Linked DNA regions of Arabidopsis thaliana. The gene in region 3 interacts genetically with the main gene of each other region. Each region holds a gene or a part of one and is shown on either strand. Other genes may lie near its edges.

The links. A genetic interaction does not mean that the proteins touch.
Region 1: of FWA (region 3) and EFS, changing one suppresses a phenotype caused by changing the other (phenotypic suppression), as found in Arabidopsis thaliana (one study listed by BioGRID).
Region 2: of FWA (region 3) and ELF3, changing one suppresses a phenotype caused by changing the other (phenotypic suppression), as found in Arabidopsis thaliana (one study listed by BioGRID).

What each region holds. Positions count from the first base shown.
Region 1 is NC_003070.9:29,046,455-29,051,158, reverse strand, and holds the start of EFS (histone-lysine N-methyltransferase), read left to right. Parts: upstream 1-1,704; 5' UTR 1,705-1,980; intron 1,981-2,337; 5' UTR 2,338-2,348; coding exon 2,349-4,704. UniProt on the Arabidopsis thaliana protein: Histone methyltransferase involved in di and tri-methylation of 'Lys-36' of histone H3 (H3K36me2 and H3K36me3). Binds to H3 already mono- or di-methylated on 'Lys-4'(H3K4me1 or H3K4me2), but not to H3K4me3.
Region 2 is NC_003071.7:11,057,042-11,063,824, forward strand, and holds ELF3 (hydroxyproline-rich glycoprotein family protein), read left to right. Parts: upstream 1-1,902; 5' UTR 1,903-2,417; coding exon 2,418-2,636; intron 2,637-2,836; exon of another isoform or gene 2,837-2,998; coding exon 2,999-3,795; intron 3,796-4,975; coding exon 4,976-5,027; intron 5,028-5,117; coding exon 5,118-6,137; 3' UTR 6,138-6,283; downstream 6,284-6,783. Other genes in the region: ALPHA-VPE (alpha-vacuolar processing enzyme), read right to left, coding at 6,455-6,637. UniProt on the Arabidopsis thaliana protein: May be a transcription factor part of a circadian clock input pathway. Acts within a 'zeitnehmer' feedback loop and is involved in its own circadian regulation. Has no role in regulating circadian clock function in the dark.
Region 3 is NC_003075.7:13,036,505-13,042,964, reverse strand, and holds FWA (FLOWERING WAGENINGEN), read right to left. Parts: upstream 4,606-6,460; 5' UTR 4,548-4,605; intron 4,446-4,547; 5' UTR 4,337-4,445; intron 3,673-4,336; 5' UTR 3,654-3,672; coding exon 3,484-3,653; intron 3,363-3,483; coding exon 3,245-3,362; intron 3,049-3,244; coding exon 2,464-3,048; intron 2,377-2,463; coding exon 2,275-2,376; intron 2,181-2,274; coding exon 1,977-2,180; intron 1,806-1,976; coding exon 1,634-1,805; intron 1,521-1,633; coding exon 1,153-1,520; intron 1,065-1,152; coding exon 723-1,064; 3' UTR 501-722; downstream 1-500. Other genes in the region: homolog of DNA mismatch repair protein MSH3, read left to right, coding at 1-265.

The DNA of each region.
Region 1 (4,704 bases), on a different chromosome or scaffold from region 3:
TGAAAATATCATGTGTCATTCTTTGTTTTGTCCGTTAATTAATGAAACATCAAGTAACGAGGAGTTGTTACATAAGTTATTCTAAGAAATTCGAAGAGACAACAATTTTATTTTGCTTGCCTTGCTTATGTATTTGCCTTAGAATTGTTGCTTTTTGCATTAATATTGTTCTTGAGGAAACTGCGTCGGAATAGGTCAATACCGAGAGACGGCATTACAGTAAGACTACATCAACTCCAAACTACAAGTCTGTTTTGTTGATCATACAAAAGCGAAACAATTAGTTTTAGTGTTCGTATGGTTTGTTCTCATATTTCCAAGATGCATCCAAAAGTGCGTTGAGAGAAGTGAGTGGGACATGGTTATGTGTACAAGTAGATTATAACTTGATTAGTTCAATTCCCGCATCTCATATTTTTGTTCTCAACTCCATTGTTTTTCTCTCTTTTTTTAGCAATGGAATGATGATCCATAGCTTATTGTCATATATCAAAGCATTCCTTGGTTTCCATATTATCAAAACTATGAATTAGGCACAGATTTTATGCATCATGTGTAGCTAGATGATAGCATAAGTTTTTCTCTTAGCTCTTAATTCTCCCTTGGATTATGATATCACCTCCATGGCTCCATATAGACAGACAGTAATGCAAACATCAAAATATAGTAATTATCAACAACTACAACACTATAAGCCTATATAACACCCTTGCAGTTCCACGCTTCCCAGGGATCATGGCGATACTCTTCTGCTCTCTCTTTTATTGTGATGCTTCTTTGATCTCTTATAAAGTCGACATAGTCTCCAACCTCTAAGTTCCGCCGCAACTGCTCATTCATCTTCAATATGGACGGTGTCCGACGACATATATGATATGGATGAGAAGATGAAGTGGATGAGGTGGACAACAAGAAGAAATACTGCGACTTCGTGTATGAATATCCTCCCCTTAGCTTCCACGTTTTTGGCTTCTAATGACAGGGATCATAGCAAGGGTTTGGTCACATTCAAACCGTGACTCAATATCGTTAACAAGACTCTGATTCGGATAAATGCTTGGCTCATCATCATCGCACTTATTTGCATCTTCAACGAGGAGAACACAAGTCAGTTAACCATCGTTGTCTGGAGCTATGAAACTTATTCCCGCTTGCTTGGTCGCGAAAGTCTCCGCCGATGTTATGATTGCGAATGAGTGGGGCTGTGTGAGTCTTATTGTAAAATAATAATACAACTAGCTAGGTTTGGTAGACTAAAGTTATTACATGAACTTTTATTCTGATATACACATACAATATATATTTCTTTTTTCTAATGATAAACCATTATGGAAGAATACTAGCGAGAATCTTATTAGAACGAACGACTAATCAAGTAATCATAGACTAAAGAAGCTAATTAAACGACTAATCATGTCTTTATGGACCACCTTTGGGACCATTTTGATTGAACACAACTCCCCAATAGATCTGAATATCTTGGAAATAAATTGGCAATGTATTTTTAGTAAAAGCTTGTGTGAATTTTCTCTACAAAAAAGTTCTAACTTTTATTGTTTTGACATATGTTTGGGTAAGATTTAAAAAACCTATGACTTTATCGAAAAATATAAATATTTTTTTGTTTGTCAATTAAATTTTCATCGTAATCATTGAGATTAAAATAAAATAAAAAAACTAAGACCCACACAAGTCCAAATCAAACAAATTAGCAACAACAAAAAAATATAAGTTGGGAATAGCAAAATAGTATCGTTTGGGGATTTTACAATTTATTTTACTGAAAAAGAGAAAAAAAAAAAATCGGTATCTCTGAAAAAACTGACCGCCTCGCGTTGTCTCTTCCCTACTTCCTCCGATTCCTTCTCCTCTCTCTATATCTGATATCGTAATCTTCTCCGCCTCTCTAGGGTTTTCTCCGTTACTCGTGCTCCAGTTTTACGTTCGTTGGCATTCGCTCAATCGCTTCTGATTCATGAGGTTAGGGTTTCGTTATTTTCAGGAGGTGACAAGATTTTATTTTATTTTATTTAGTCTCTGTTGCGGCGTGTTTAAAATCAGAAGAGATCGGAGGGTTTTTGTCATCAATGTTGATGATTGAGCCATCCATTGTCTTGTGTTAGGTCTTTGAGTTGACCTTCTTAAGTTTTTTTTTTTTTTTTTTTTGGGGTCTCTGTTTGGTTGATTTTGTAGATCATGTTAATACGGGGCTGGGTTCTATTGAGAATCTGTTAAAGGTCTTTGAACCATTGCATAGTTTGATTTACTAAATAGCTTACTGATTTTTCATTAAAAATCCCTTTTTTTGAGAATGTTATTTGTTTGGCTTTGAATCAGGTAGCATTACGATGGACTGTAAGGAAAACGGTGTTGGTGACGCTTCTGGGTGCAATATTGATGCTAACTCTCTGGCCTCAAATCTTGCGATGAATACCAATGAAGATTTCTATGAGAAATTGAGTTCTCGTGGGCAAAATTTAGATTCAGTCAGTAGTTTGGAGATTCCTCAGACTGCTTCATCTGTAAACCATACGATTGAAGGCCAAAGGAAGTGCTTTACAGAGATTGAGCAGATGGGATACGGGAACAGTAATAGTCAAGAAGATGCTGGAAACACTGATGATGATCTATATGTTTGTTACAATGCTGATGACACTCAGGAGCAGGGAGTGGTTTCAGGTGAGCTTGAACAAAGTCAAGAATTAATTTGTGATACTGATTTACTGGTAAATTGCAACAAGCTGGATGATGGAAAGGAAAGTCAGGACACAAATGTGTCCCTTGTATCCATTTTTTCTGGGAGTATGCAAGAGAAAGAAGCTCCTCAGGCTAAAGAAGATGAAGGTTATGGTGGCACAACATTGCCTATAGGGGGCAGTGGAATAGATACGGAATCAACTTTTGTGAATGATGCACCAGAACAATTCGAGTCTTTGGAAACCACAAAGCACATAAAACCTGATGAAGTTGAAAGTGATGGTATTAGTTATAGGTTTGATGATGGAGGTAAGGAAGGAAGAAATGGACCATCGAGTGATCTAGATACTGGTTCTTCTGATGATATATCTCTCAGTCAGAGTTTTTCGTTTCCAGATTCGTTATTGGACTCTAGTGTATTTGGCTGTAGCGCCACAGAAAGTTATCTGGAGGATGCAATTGATATTGAAGGCAATGGGACTATTGTTGTATCCCCTTCATTAGCTATCACAGAAATGTTAAATAATGATGATGGTGGCCTATGTTCACATGATCTTAACAAGATCACAGTCACAGAGACGATCAATCCAGATTTGAAGTTGGTACGTGAGGATAGGCTTGACACTGATCTTTCCGTGATGAATGAAAAGATGCTAAAAAACCATGTTGGGGATTCATCAAGTGAAAGTGCCGTGGCCGCTTTGAGTATGAATAATGGTATGGCTGCTGATCTGAGAGCTGAAAATTTCAGTCAGAGTTCACCCATAGACGAAAAAACTTTAGATATGGAAGCCAATTCCCCTATTACTGACTCTTCTTTGATATGGAATTTTCCATTGAACTTTGGAAGTGGAGGAATCGAAGTCTGTAATCCTGAAAATGCAGTTGAGCCACTCAGAATAGTAGATGACAATGGCAGAATAGGTGGTGAAGTTGCTTCTGCATCAGGGAGTGATTTTTGTGAAGCTGGCATGTCTTCTTCCCGAAGGAAGGCCCGAGACGGGAAACAATGTAAAGTGGTGCAGACAAAAACGAGTGCTCGCCATCTGAGAAAATCCTCTAGAAAGAAACAATCAGAAAGAGACATTGAGTCAATTTTCAAGTGCTCAAAGCAGAAGAGGAGCTCTCTTTTAAAAACAAGTCGTTCATCTGAGTGGGGATTACCAAGCAAGACCACTGAAATCTTCTTACAGAGCAATAATATTCCCTATGATGGACCTCCGCATCATGAACCACAGAGATCTCAGGGAAATCTTAATAATGGAGAGCATAATAGAAGTTCTCATAACGGGAATGTAGAAGGATCTAACAGAAACATCCAAGCATCAAGTGGCTCTTGCCTTCGTTTGAAAGTTAAATTTGGTAAATCAGGTGGCCAAAATCCTCTGAACATTACAGTCTCTAAGGTCAGTGGTAACTCCTTACCTGGTAATGGTATTGTAAAAGCAGGAACATGTTTAGAATTGCCAGGATCAGCACATTTTGGTGAGGATAAAATGCAAACTGTGGAAACTAAAGAGGACTTGGTAGAGAAAAGCAACCCTGTGGAGAAAGTTTCATATCTTCAGTCATCTGATTCTATGAGGGATAAGAAATATAACCAAGACGCTGGGGGTTTATGTAGGAAGGTGGGTGGTGATGTTTTAGATGATGACCCACACCTTTCCTCTATTAGAATGGTTGAGGAGTGCGAGAGGGCCACTGGAACGCAGTCCCTGGACGCTGAAACTTCACCAGATTCTGAAGTTATCAACTCTGTGCCTGATTCCATTGTCAATATTGAACATAAAGAGGGTCTGCATCATGGTTTTTTTAGCACTCCAGAAGATGTGGTCAAGAAGAACAGAGTATTAGAAAAAGAAGATGAATTGCGTGCTTCAAAATCTCCTTCAGAAAATGGTTCACATCTAATTCCCAATGCAAAAAAAGCTAAACATCCGAAGTCTAAAAGTAATGGAACAAAGAAAGGTAAATCCAAGTTTTCCGAATCTGCCAAAGACGGGAGAA
Region 2 (6,783 bases), on a different chromosome or scaffold from region 3:
TCAAAATAGTTACTAAAATAATTTTTTTCTAAAAGCCATGAATATAAACACAACAACTAATCAATCTCCACAATATATATTATATATTAACAAAAAGTGTATTGGTGATAAAAAGTACTTGATGATACACTAAACAAAAAGGATAAATGGGAGAATTTTTTATTTTGAAAGATGAAACATTTTAGGTTATATATTTCATGACCCTTATAAATAAAATTCCTGGCTCCACCACTGGATATCTCTACATATTTCCAACATCAATATCCATTGATATTTGATAATCTTTACCAAAAATTCGCAATCTCCTTTAGAGTGAAAGCGAGTATAACCGTATGACCAAACTATTTTGAGTACCATTGGTAATTCCTTACCTTAAGCTTCCAGAGGTATTAGTGCTATATATTCATAGTGCCACCGAGTATTTTGAACTCCGAAATGATTTCTCACTATCCGACCACTCCCAATTATATAACATGCTTAGAATTATTCGTAAGATGGATCGTAGTTGCATTTTACGACACCATACAGGACAAGTCCATGATAGTTTGAGTTGGTGGATTTTGGAACCCCTGCAAATTTATTTTATACATAACAAAGGCCCCAATCCATTCCTTAGCATCACAACTTGGGACTTCTATCTTTTGAAGGATACATTCACTTGTTGGTTTTGGTAAATATGATTGTTTCTTTACTTCCGAATAAGCAATATATAAAAGTATCTAAAAACGGAAGTAACTTTTGATGATCCTAAAGGTTTTGTAATTGATACATGTCCAAAAACCTCTTAATATTCTTTCTCACAAACTGTTGATGGAGTTAACAAAGGGAGACAAGGTAATTGGGACAATATCAACGTTAGATACAGGACAAGTGAAAAATGTGGGGTTGATGTCTTCAGCTGCAGCATATCACCGTTGGTATATATTGTCAATTATTAGTCCTATGGATTTGAAACGTGTTTTAGTAAATAAGAGTGTCCAAGTGGGACATTTCCAATAACGTATCACAGCTCCTAGAGCTTTTGCTATGTTTCTCTAGGCCTGGGCCGCCTAGCCCACATTCCAAGCAAGGAAATGAATGGAGTTGGGCATCAAAATTTTGGAAGCATTTTTAAGACAAATTATCTTTTAAGTTTCCTTTTTTAAACATAAACTATATTTTAGGCTTTTTTAAGATAAATATTATTTGGATTTTCTTTCACTCATATTTTTGGATTTCAACTTAACAAAACATAGGGCGTGTCTATTTGACTCCACCTACCCACCCTACTGGAGTTCGATCCCACTAAATCGCGTTATCCCGCATAGTAGGGATTGACTATGGATCGGACTTTGTCGATCCAAAGATATCTAAGAAATTCAGAAAAGATTGTATAAAATTCAGAAACGATTTTACGAAATTCATGAAAAATGAGAAATACATGTTTTTTTTAATTTACGTCGGCATTAAAAACGTTGGACCGGCTCTGTGTTTCACCAAAGAAATTGTTTCAGTTTATGCATGATCTTCAACTTCCATATTCTTGTTTTCAATTCTGGAAATCCCTAACAGATCGGAGCTCTCCTCATTCAGTGAGTTGGAAGATTGCATGATTATATAATTACTCTTCACATCCACATATATTACATTATATTCCCCTATAATTTCATACAACCCTAGAAAAGAATCTTCAAGTAATCTAATCGTGTCGATGACTCCACTCATTTGCTAGAAAAGAAAAAACAAACAGACTTCATTTAGCTGAAAACAATCTTTTATTCAACATTACAAAGCACTGATCAAAGAACCTCTAACATGGTAATATATCTATGACATTTTACGTATCCTAAAAGAAAACAAAAAGTGATGTATTGGATGATGTTTTTTTTTTTTACTTTCTAGTTTCTTATTACAACGACAAAAAGAGTCCACGTCGTCACGCACTTTTCCGGTGGTGAAAAAAATGTCCAAATGGATTAAATCTATAATATCTCCAGAGAGATCCTCTCCTTCTATCTTTTTGGGCTCCACTTTTCCTATCTCTTTTTGCCCCTTTCCTCTCTCTGTTCACAAGTCATCTTCTTCCTTCCTCTGAATCTTGTTCCTTTTTGCTCTCTCTACTTGATTCACCCACTCTGTTTCTCGATTAGTACGTTGAAAACTCACTTTGGTTTTGTTTGATTCCTCTTTAGTCTGTTTTTCGATTTCGTTTTCTCTGATTGGTTTGGTGGTGAGATCTCTATCGTAGTTTGTCCTTTGGGTTAAGATATTTCATTTGATTGGTGGGTTTGTTTTATTGAAGCTTATTGTTGTGAAAGTTGGAGTCTTTCTCAGTTTTTAGGTTGAATTATTAAGAGAAAGGGAAGATTTTTGGTGTGAAGTTAGGTTATTTGGGGTTTGAGAAGTTTGCAAGTGAAAAAGGTTGTGAATTGTGAGTGATGAAGAGAGGGAAAGATGAGGAGAAGATATTGGAACCTATGTTTCCTCGGCTTCATGTGAATGATGCAGATAAAGGAGGGCCTAGAGCTCCTCCTAGAAACAAGATGGCTCTTTATGAGCAGCTTAGTATTCCTTCTCAGAGGTTTGGTGATCATGGAACGATGAATTCTCGTAGTAACAACACAAGCACTTTGGTTCATCCTGGACCATCTAGTCAGGTATTGTTTTGATTTTGATCATTGTATAGGCTCTTGATGTTATTAGTTGTATGAGTTTGGATGTTATATAGCCTGAAAGAGAAAGTAGGACATTGGTTGATCTATGTTTCAATTGTTATCAGATCATAGTATCTTCTTTTTGCTTATGGATTGAGCTTTTAGGATTGAATTCTCCTGTATATATGAGAGTCTTGTAGACACAAGTTTATCTAAGTGTGGTTTATTTCTTAAAACTAACATTCTTGTTGTGCCTGATTCTTTTTATGTTCTGAAGTTCGATGAAAGTTTCTTGTGATTGCCCTGAGCATTCAGACTATTGCAAGGACATGAGAAATAATCCTTTTTTACCCTCTTCAATGCAGCCTTGTGGTGTGGAAAGAAACTTATCTGTCCAGCATCTTGATTCTTCAGCCGCAAACCAAGCAACTGAGAAGTTTGTCTCCCAAATGTCCTTCATGGAAAATGTGAGATCTTCGGCACAGCATGATCAGAGGAAAATGGTGAGAGAGGAAGAAGATTTTGCAGTTCCAGTATATATTAACTCAAGAAGATCTCAGTCTCATGGCAGAACCAAGAGTGGTATTGAGAAGGAAAAACACACCCCAATGGTGGCACCTAGCTCTCATCACTCCATTCGATTTCAAGAAGTGAATCAGACAGGCTCAAAGCAAAACGTATGTTTGGCTACTTGTTCAAAACCTGAAGTTAGGGATCAGGTCAAGGCGAATGCAAGGTCAGGTGGCTTTGTAATCTCTTTAGATGTATCAGTCACAGAGGAGATTGATCTCGAAAAATCAGCATCAAGTCATGATAGAGTAAATGATTATAATGCTTCCTTGAGACAAGAGTCTAGAAATCGGTTATACCGAGATGGTGGCAAAACTCGTCTGAAGGACACTGATAATGGAGCTGAATCTCACTTGGCAACGGAAAATCATTCACAAGAGGGTCATGGCAGTCCTGAAGACATTGATAATGATCGTGAATACAGCAAAAGCAGAGCATGCGCCTCTCTGCAGCAGATAAATGAAGAGGCAAGTGATGACGTTTCTGATGATTCGATGGTGGATTCTATATCCAGCATAGATGTCTCTCCCGATGATGTTGTGGGTATATTAGGTCAAAAACGTTTCTGGAGAGCAAGGAAAGCCATTGCCAAGTAAGTTCACTAGAAATTTACAGTTTGGTTATTTATTCTCCGCTCTTTCTATTTATCTCCTTCTTTGATACCAACATTTTTTGCTTGAAAGAAGTTAATATTTAAGCATTGTTCCGTAGTCTTACTGAAGCTTTTTCCTCTGTTGTTTTTTGCTATTTTCATTGAGGACTGTGGTAGGGCATATTTCACTATCACCAAATTTCAAATTTCTAGAACACTCTCCTTCATATTTTTTTTCATGATTAATGCTGCAATTGATTGCTGATATACATATATGACTATAACTCAGTTTCATATTCTGTCTCATTTTGGGAGAAAGAGATTTCAGGTTTATGCTTGAGAAGTGATGGTTCTATAGTTGAGAGGCCCCTGATTCATCTAAAATGGTCCTATTATGTGTTTAGTTGTAGAGTCCTCGGTAGAATATTAACGCGTTTAACACGTTGGATCATGTTATAGCAGGGAGGGACATTCTCTGTTGACCTATATTGTGCAAGGTGCCCGCCGATGGCTTTATTACTATACCTTCTTTGCATCTGGTTGTTGGAACATGTCCCTGTCTCGGTTTGGTATTGCTTTTATTCTGCACTGTCGTCTTGGGCATTTTCCCTACTTGTCATTCAAGGGGTTGAACCAGGTAGGGAAATGTTTTTCCGAGGACCCCAGGATCTAAATTTTAGTTAACCATACGTAAAGTTAGTTTTGAGTCTTATGACGATGCAGAATTATAGTTTCTTCTTACTACTGCTTAAGAGGATCCTTAGTGTGGTTGTGAACTACAGAGTTTTTATGATTGTAGGCTTCATGACTTAACTTTTAAGGTTCAATGTACTCTAATCCATATGGTAAGGTATCGGATTCACGACCAATGCAAATAATAAGATTTTTATTTCTTGCTTCTTGTTAAATATCTGACATCTCATTTTGCAGAGGATAAGCTGCGCTGTAAGCTAGATTTCAATAAGCCCGTCCTTTGCATTGTTATCTATGCTTTAATATGTCATTGGACCCATTGATTTGGTTTTCTTCTATCTTTTTTGATTGGCTATGTATTCTTGTTTCTTTTTTCCTATCTCATTTCGATCGTATTGTTCCATTAGCTGTTCAACCTAAACTATGTCTCTCTTTGTTGAACTTTTGATGGATAATCTTCTTAATGTGACTCTGTTTCTCATTACAGTCAACAAAGAGTATTTGCTGTTCAACTATTTGAGTTGCACAGACTGATTAAGGTAAAGTCATTCAGAAACTTCTCATATGTTTCCATGAGTATTTGTTTCTTCTCGAGCTGAAACAAACCTCTTCAACTGTGTAATAATCAGGTTCAAAAACTTATTGCTGCATCACCGGATCTCTTGCTCGATGAGATCAGTTTTCTTGGAAAAGTTTCTGCTAAAAGCTATCCAGTGAAGAAGCTCCTTCCATCAGAATTTCTGGTAAAGCCTCCTCTACCACATGTTGTCGTCAAACAAAGGGGTGACTCGGAGAAGACTGACCAACATAAAATGGAAAGCTCAGCTGAGAACGTAGTTGGGAGGTTGTCAAATCAAGGTCATCATCAACAATCCAACTACATGCCTTTTGCAAACAACCCACCGGCTTCACCGGCTCCAAATGGATATTGCTTTCCTCCTCAGCCTCCTCCTTCAGGAAATCATCAGCAATGGTTGATCCCTGTAATGTCTCCCTCGGAAGGACTGATATACAAGCCTCACCCAGGTATGGCACACACGGGGCATTATGGAGGATATTATGGTCATTATATGCCTACACCAATGGTAATGCCTCAATATCACCCCGGCATGGGATTCCCACCTCCTGGTAATGGCTACTTCCCTCCATATGGAATGATGCCCACCATAATGAACCCATATTGTTCAAGCCAACAACAACAACAACAACAACCCAATGAGCAAATGAACCAGTTTGGACATCCTGGAAATCTTCAGAACACCCAACAACAACAACAGAGATCTGATAATGAACCTGCTCCACAGCAACAGCAACAGCCAACAAAGTCTTATCCGCGAGCAAGAAAGAGCAGGCAAGGGAGCACAGGAAGCAGTCCAAGTGGGCCACAGGGAATCTCTGGTAGCAAGTCCTTTCGGCCATTCGCAGCCGTTGATGAGGACAGCAACATCAACAATGCACCTGAGCAAACGATGACAACAACCACAACGACGACAAGAACAACTGTTACTCAGACAACAAGAGATGGGGGAGGAGTGACGAGAGTGATAAAGGTGGTACCTCACAACGCAAAGCTCGCGAGTGAGAATGCTGCCAGAATTTTCCAGTCAATACAAGAAGAACGTAAACGCTATGACTCCTCTAAGCCTTAATCCTCTCTATGCGTATTGTACTTGATATGTATTTTACAAAATTAGAAAAATTGTGATAGATGTTATCCTCAATATATGTACCATGTAAACGTATTATGGTGTAAGCCTCATTTATATGTGTTAATTTGTCTTAAAGCCTTGAAATCACTTGAACAACAAAGATTATTTGAAACAACTACTTACAATCACTGTTTCTTTTGTCTGTGACATCAAGAACTTAAGCATCCCATATTTACAACATCTTGTCTACATAGGAAGGAGTATAATTGGTAGTAAGATATTAATGGACATCGATTAATATAGGGCGGAGACGAAGATCAAGCACTGAATCCACGGTCAAGAGAGCTCCAAGGACTGGTAGGGATGGTGGGACAAGCCTGCATTGCTGCCTCCTCCATTTGCCTCATCTGAATCCCTGCGTTGCACATGTTTGCAATCGACCTCATGTGCTTTATTCCGTACTGAGACAACGATCCACAGTGCCTCTCGAAAGCTCTCACCTAACAACCACATAAAGGAGAATAAGAAAGTGATCATCACAAGAAGCTTAATCATCTAATGAGGACTGAAAGTGATTTTTTTCCGACATATCATATCGTATCTAACGTCCTGAGTCTTGCATCCTCTGGCCAATACCATTGTTTAA
Region 3 (6,460 bases):
TCCATCATGTATACGTCGAGCCATTTCAATGGCTGCAAAATTGGAAGCTGAGGTACGTGCAAGAGAGAGAAATACACGCATGGGAGAACCAGAAGGACATGAAGAACCGAGAGGCGCAGAAGAATCTATTTCGGCTCTAGGTGACTTGTTTGCAGACCTGAAATTTGCTCTCTCTGAAGAGGACCCTTGGAAAGCATTCGAGTTTTTAAAGCATGCTTGGAAGATTGCTGGCAAAATCAGACTAAAACCAACTTGTTCATTTTGATTTAATCTTAACATTATAGCAACTGCAAGGTCTTGATCATCTGTTAGTTGCGTACTAACTTATGTGTATTAGTATAACAAGAAAAGAGAATTAGAGAGATGGATTCTAATCCGGTGTTGCAGTACATCTTTTCTCCACCCGCAACCCTGTTTCTTTTCAGCTTGATTTCTAGTAGTTATTAGAATTCTGGAATGCATTTTTCACCTGATATAGTGAAGCATGATCTCCATCAATGTTGAATACGAAATATATTGTTCTAACTCTCTATTAATTCTGGTTTGTAACAATTTGAGAGTTTCAGAAAAGGAAAGAAGAAAGGAAGCAAGAAATATCCAGCAAACAGATCAACAAACGCATAAAAAAGTTAATCCAGAAGAGTCTTGGTTGGAAAAGCAAACTAGGGCACAAGCCAATGTCGAATTTCTTGCGGAACAACGGAAACTGGAGCTGCTGATGGTTACGTCTGTAAATCTAACGCGGATTTGATCTTGACAATAGTATGAGCCATGAGTGTCTCGACACTTTTGACAGTACCTTGAATGAGTGCAGCAGTTGGATTGATGCCCACCAAGATCTGAAGTCCAAATGTCAGTAGACATCCTCCACCAGTATTGCCTCTATGATATGACCCATTTACTCCATCTGGCACTATCGAAAATCCCGAAGGAAGAAACTTCACAGAATCTGAATTTTCACCTCTCTTGACCAGCTCAATAGAATTGGTTTCCACTGGTGCATACACCACCATTGCACCTGATGCATCATTCCAAATCTCTTGCAGAACCAGCATACCATTATTCTGTTTGCATTGCAAAACTCACGAAAATCAATGGAAACATAGACAAAACGACACTCATTAAACCAAAAATAAATGTTTTGAAACTCACAACGATTTTCAGAAGAGAGATGATGTTTCCATGGCGTTTTGCTTTTTGAATCCGGATTGTTTCTTCCATGGTAGTATCATTGGTCAAGATATCCCACTCGTGTCTGAAACTCAGGTGGCTAATGAAAGCAAAGAGTGTATGCTGGTTCACTGGGAGCCAAACAGAAGTGGATGCACTCAGCACAATCCCAGTTAGCTCACCAGGCTCATTCACGTTCTTTCGGATCATGAAACTCATGTTTTGTGCCACATTCTCCACCTGAATTTTCTGCCACTTGTCCACCGAAGGACTCGTAATACCTCTGTAGTAGTTGAGAGTCATTCGCTGTGCTAGCTTCACTATTTCAGTTGCACCTTTTGCAGACAATCCTATATCGAAAACATATATCACAATCAAGGCCTGTCCAAATTTAGTGGAGAACCGAAAATGACCTAAAAAGTAGTTGTAATGAGATTTATTCTATAATTTAAATAGCTTTCACCTGGACTAATTTCAGTCAAGTTGGTAGATGAAAGGGTCGAGAGGCTTTCGCAGTGTCTCTGCAGCGTCGCGAGCCATCTCTTTGCACCTAGCCCGATCCCATAGCCAATCAAAGGCTGGTAGAGTTGGTGGATGTGACTCTCATTATATTCCGCTTGTTCAATCCATGTAACCTGTGAAATCAAATCTCTATGTGTTATACATGTGGTGAATATAATAATAACCATTAACCATTTATTTATGTCTCCACAGTACAAGATGCTCTGATAGATCATTAATTATGATTGCGAGTAATAACAAGTGAACCAACATATATTGTTCAAAGAACAGGATTCAGAAGTAACCTGGGAGTACCCATTGGACAGGTCGTCTATGATAAGGCCTGAGGGTAGCCTCTTAGAACAACCATAGGGCAGCAAAGTCGGATTTTGAGTAGGAGTAACGTCGACGACCACCCATAAGCCCTGTCTGATCTCTTTGCAGTATCTAATAAACGTTACTTTTCTCTTTGGTACCAGCGGAGAAATTACTTGAAATTCTGCTTGAATCTGCCAAAATTATATGATCACAAATTTGAAATGTTTCTACTTCTCTTGGATTATCAACCAATATAGACGACTCAGAAAACTATATATATTATACCTGTTGGAGTGAGCCACTTTTGGTTCCACCAGAACCGGTAGATAGCACTTTATGGGTTGATGCCACAGGGACTATAGGTGCAAACACGTTGACCCATTTGCCCTGTTTAAAAAAAAAAAAAAAAAACTTGTTAACATTTCATGTAACAACATTTCACTAAAAAATGGGTGGTGGTTTAAAGGTTATTACTGTGTCCATAAGAGTCTTGACCAGAGTCACGCAAGTCATGGGAACTAAACCTTTAGCTCTTGAAGCCTCCACAATTTGCCCGGGAGGTTTTGTGACATTGTTGAAAGAACTTCTATACTTCTCATAGATCTTTGATACTCCTTTGGATCTAACGATTGGATCTATCATCCAAAATGGACAGTCCACTTCTCCCAATGTAATCAACTCTCTCAAAGCCGTAATGGCAAGATTCAGAAAAATTGATGTCTCCTTCTCAGACGTCCTAGTTCCACCACTAAAATCAAGTACTGGTGTTGCATTTATTCCTGGATTAGAGGAAGAAGAAGGCGCCTGTTCGGATGTACTGACCATCCTTTGTTTGGGATGAGAAAGGTATCTGGAATTGAACTGGTCTATCTCCCGCTCCAAGTTAGCATTCTCAGCCATAAGTTTTTGCACCTCATATTCAGTGTCTCCACAATTAGTTGCCTTACCACAAATGTTGCATAAACTACGTAGCATTGCGCTTCTAAGCTGATCCTGAGTTGCTAGCAATCTGTCATGCTCTTCTCTAAGAGTTACATTCTCAAGGTGGTCATTATTGATCTGCTTACCCAAAAAACCACACTCAATAATTATACCATAATCAAGGCAGATTTTGAGGATGAGAGAGAGAGGTGGTAAACTATATACAGTATTTGTTTTTAACATAGGGCAGAAACATGGTCCATAATACGGTACGTGCAAAGAATAAGAAAAGACACAGCCACATGCATGTATACACTTCTGTATTTTTTGGTACCTTCTCGAGATTTCTTTTATTCTGGAACCAATTCTTGACTTGATTGACACCCATATTAAGCCTTTGTCCAAGCTCGTACCTCTGTTCTTCAGTGGGATGAGGATTTTCCATGTAGAAACTACACTCATTTTAAAGTAAAGAGCAAAGTAAAGAGAAACATTCCAAACTCAAAATAAAAAAATAAAAAAAATAATAGGAAATGTTGCATGATGATGAAATGAAGAAGAAAGTGAACAAACTTTTCAAGTTCTTGAGTTTGATAAGCAGTGCGCCTATGGGTTCTTCTCATCCTTCCACCATCTTGATCATTAACACCAGACATATCATTAATCATATCAATCTCATCGCCTTCAGCTTCACCTGGTTTTGGAATGTTTCCAACCGCATCCAAATCACCTTGTCCATTCATTTTCCCTCAATGCAATAACCTGGACATTGCATACTATTAGTACTCGATATAGAGGTTTAGCTCCCTGGACATATAGTGAGTGTGATCAAATTAATACACGTATAAACTTTATATTAACCACCAAACAAAAAAGACTTAAAAAGTTTTTTCTTTTTGGTTTTAATGCTGAAGATTTTATCGATAAATTATGCCCCAAAAACACAATGTTAAGATTTACTACCAACCTAAGATTATTTACTATTTCATTCCAAAGTTTGACAATTGCAACAACTCAAAAGAGACAAAGCCAATCTAAACTGAAAAATAACAAAAAACAATCTGCTTTATACTGGAAAAGAAATACAACCAGAATAAAATTCAAGTAGAGAATGAACCAGTAAATGGTTCTTTTTGGAAGAAGAGAATTAAATTAACATTTCTAGTGTCTCGACAACGAACAAGACAAAAGAACTCAAAAATTTGGGATACCCATTGTAGAGTTAACACAATATTTTTCAAAGTACTTTACACATAAGCGAAAAACAGACAAATCGGGAACCAAAATCATTCTCTAAACAAAATGTAAAAAAATCTGATTTTTGGCTGAAAAAAACAACAAAAATCTGATTGTCAGTATCCTACAAATCGATAAATCGTAAGAAGAAAACATAAAAATAATATTAAAGTTGTGTGCTAAAAGCAACCTTAAACAACCAAATAGCACTTCGACCAATGTCGAAAAGCAAAAACCGTAAAGCGGTGCTCGTATGAATGTTGAATGGGATAAAGAGCGGCGCAAGATCTGATATTTGGCTGGAAAAAACAACAATAATCTGATTGTCAGTATCCCACAAATCGATAAATCGTAAGAAGAAAAACATAAAAATAATATTAAAGTTGTGTGCTAAAAGCAACCTTAAACAACCAAATAGCACTTGGACCAATGGCGAAAAGCAAAAACCCTAGAGCGGCGCTCGTATGAATGTTGAATGGGATAAGGTATATATGAGATTCTCGACGGAAAGATGTATGGGCTTCGATAAAGAATATATGAGATTCTCGACGGAAAGATGTATGGGCTTCGGCCCATAACTCTTTGATATTAGTATAGAACCATAACAAAAGAAAAAAAAAAAACCTTAAACAAGTAAACACTAAACCCAATTGATTCTTTACTAAATTTAGTAATCAATGGTTATTGTGAAATGAAATTTAACTTTTCTTTCATATGAAAAAAAAAATTGAAACCATCCATGGATGGCCTAGTTTTATTTAGATAACTAAATATCTATGTTTTGAAATAGTAATCTATTACATGACACAAGAACGAAGATTAACTAAATCGAGAAAGAAAAAAAAGTGTAGATTTGGTAGACGCTGAATATATAAAAAAACTAAAGTGATAAAACAAATTGTCTTTTTAAAAAAGTATGGAATTTTCAAATTTCCCATTCTTTCGGTATATGATGAGAACCTTCACATGGATTTTATTTTTAACAACAAAAATCAATGTTGAAAAGTGTATGTACCTATGAAACAAAATCAGGGTCTTAACTAGTTTTTTGTTTTGGTTTTGGTTTTAATCTTTTCTAGTTGCTTTGCCTTATTTATAAGCGCAGATGAGGAAGAGAAAGGCGAAGGCACATCAGCTGCATGGGACGTTGCTGAAGCTGTGGCGCTCTCATTGTGTGATATCTTCAATCTCTGTTAATAGCTTTGTAATGGTGGTAACAATCCAAAAATACCCAATTACAATCTTATAAGTACCAATCATCATCCATCCTATGGTTTTTCTTTTTTAAACAAAATCCGATATAAAATTAATAAAAATCTATTGTATTAACACTAAAGGTCTATTTACGAAAATTTATAGTTACAATGATATGAAATGATAGAAAAAATGAAAGATTATAAAATTGTATTGACCGAAAAAAGAAGTTTAATATATATATATATATATAGGGATACTCATTAGAAAATCTATATGCTTAGTGAAAAATGACTCCTTCCCATAATATTAAAAACAGATAAACGAAATTGTTAACTAAATTTATTCAACAATAATAAACTTTTAACAATGACAGGTCACACTTTAAATGGAAATATGCATTGATAGACTTTCTCGGTTGAAGTTGTAACTCTAGATTTATTTTTGTAGAATTTAAAGATGTATTTTGTTCCTTTTGTTGTGAGCTATGAAATTAATACCTTATAATTGTAGGTTTTAGGAAGCGGTTGATGTATAGCATGTGCAGAGTAAGCTCGAAATGGCTGAGACGAAAAAAAGTGTCGCCACAATGATTTACTTTTTACTACTATACTTTTGATCATTGGGACCTAATGGATGAATGTTGTGTGTTGTGGACGAGTTTATGACACATAACAATATTGTAGACAAATTGTCTAATTTGAGTAGAGATACTAAAATTTATCTCCATATAATTGTATACTGTATATGTATAACAAATAATTCAATTCATTGGCCTAAGATGTTTTATTGTATCTTTGTAGAATTTTACACTTTAGAGAAAAATCATTGCAATAACTCGATGAAAAAAAATGTTTATCTTATCCTAGTTACAACTAACTATCTATCTATCTCTTTGTGGTAGGAGATTTGCATCTGATCGAACGATTCATATGGTGCCACGTAACTATGGTCCCACTTCTATTACGAGATCTACTAAGACATCAGCACGTGTCGGTGTCGTTTGATCCACGAGGTCGGTGACGCTTAGAGCTAGTTGACCGGTACAGTCGGTTATTACCGGTTATACTATATGTATGTTTTTTGGTCAAAGATTTGGAGCTATTTTATAGTTAATAAA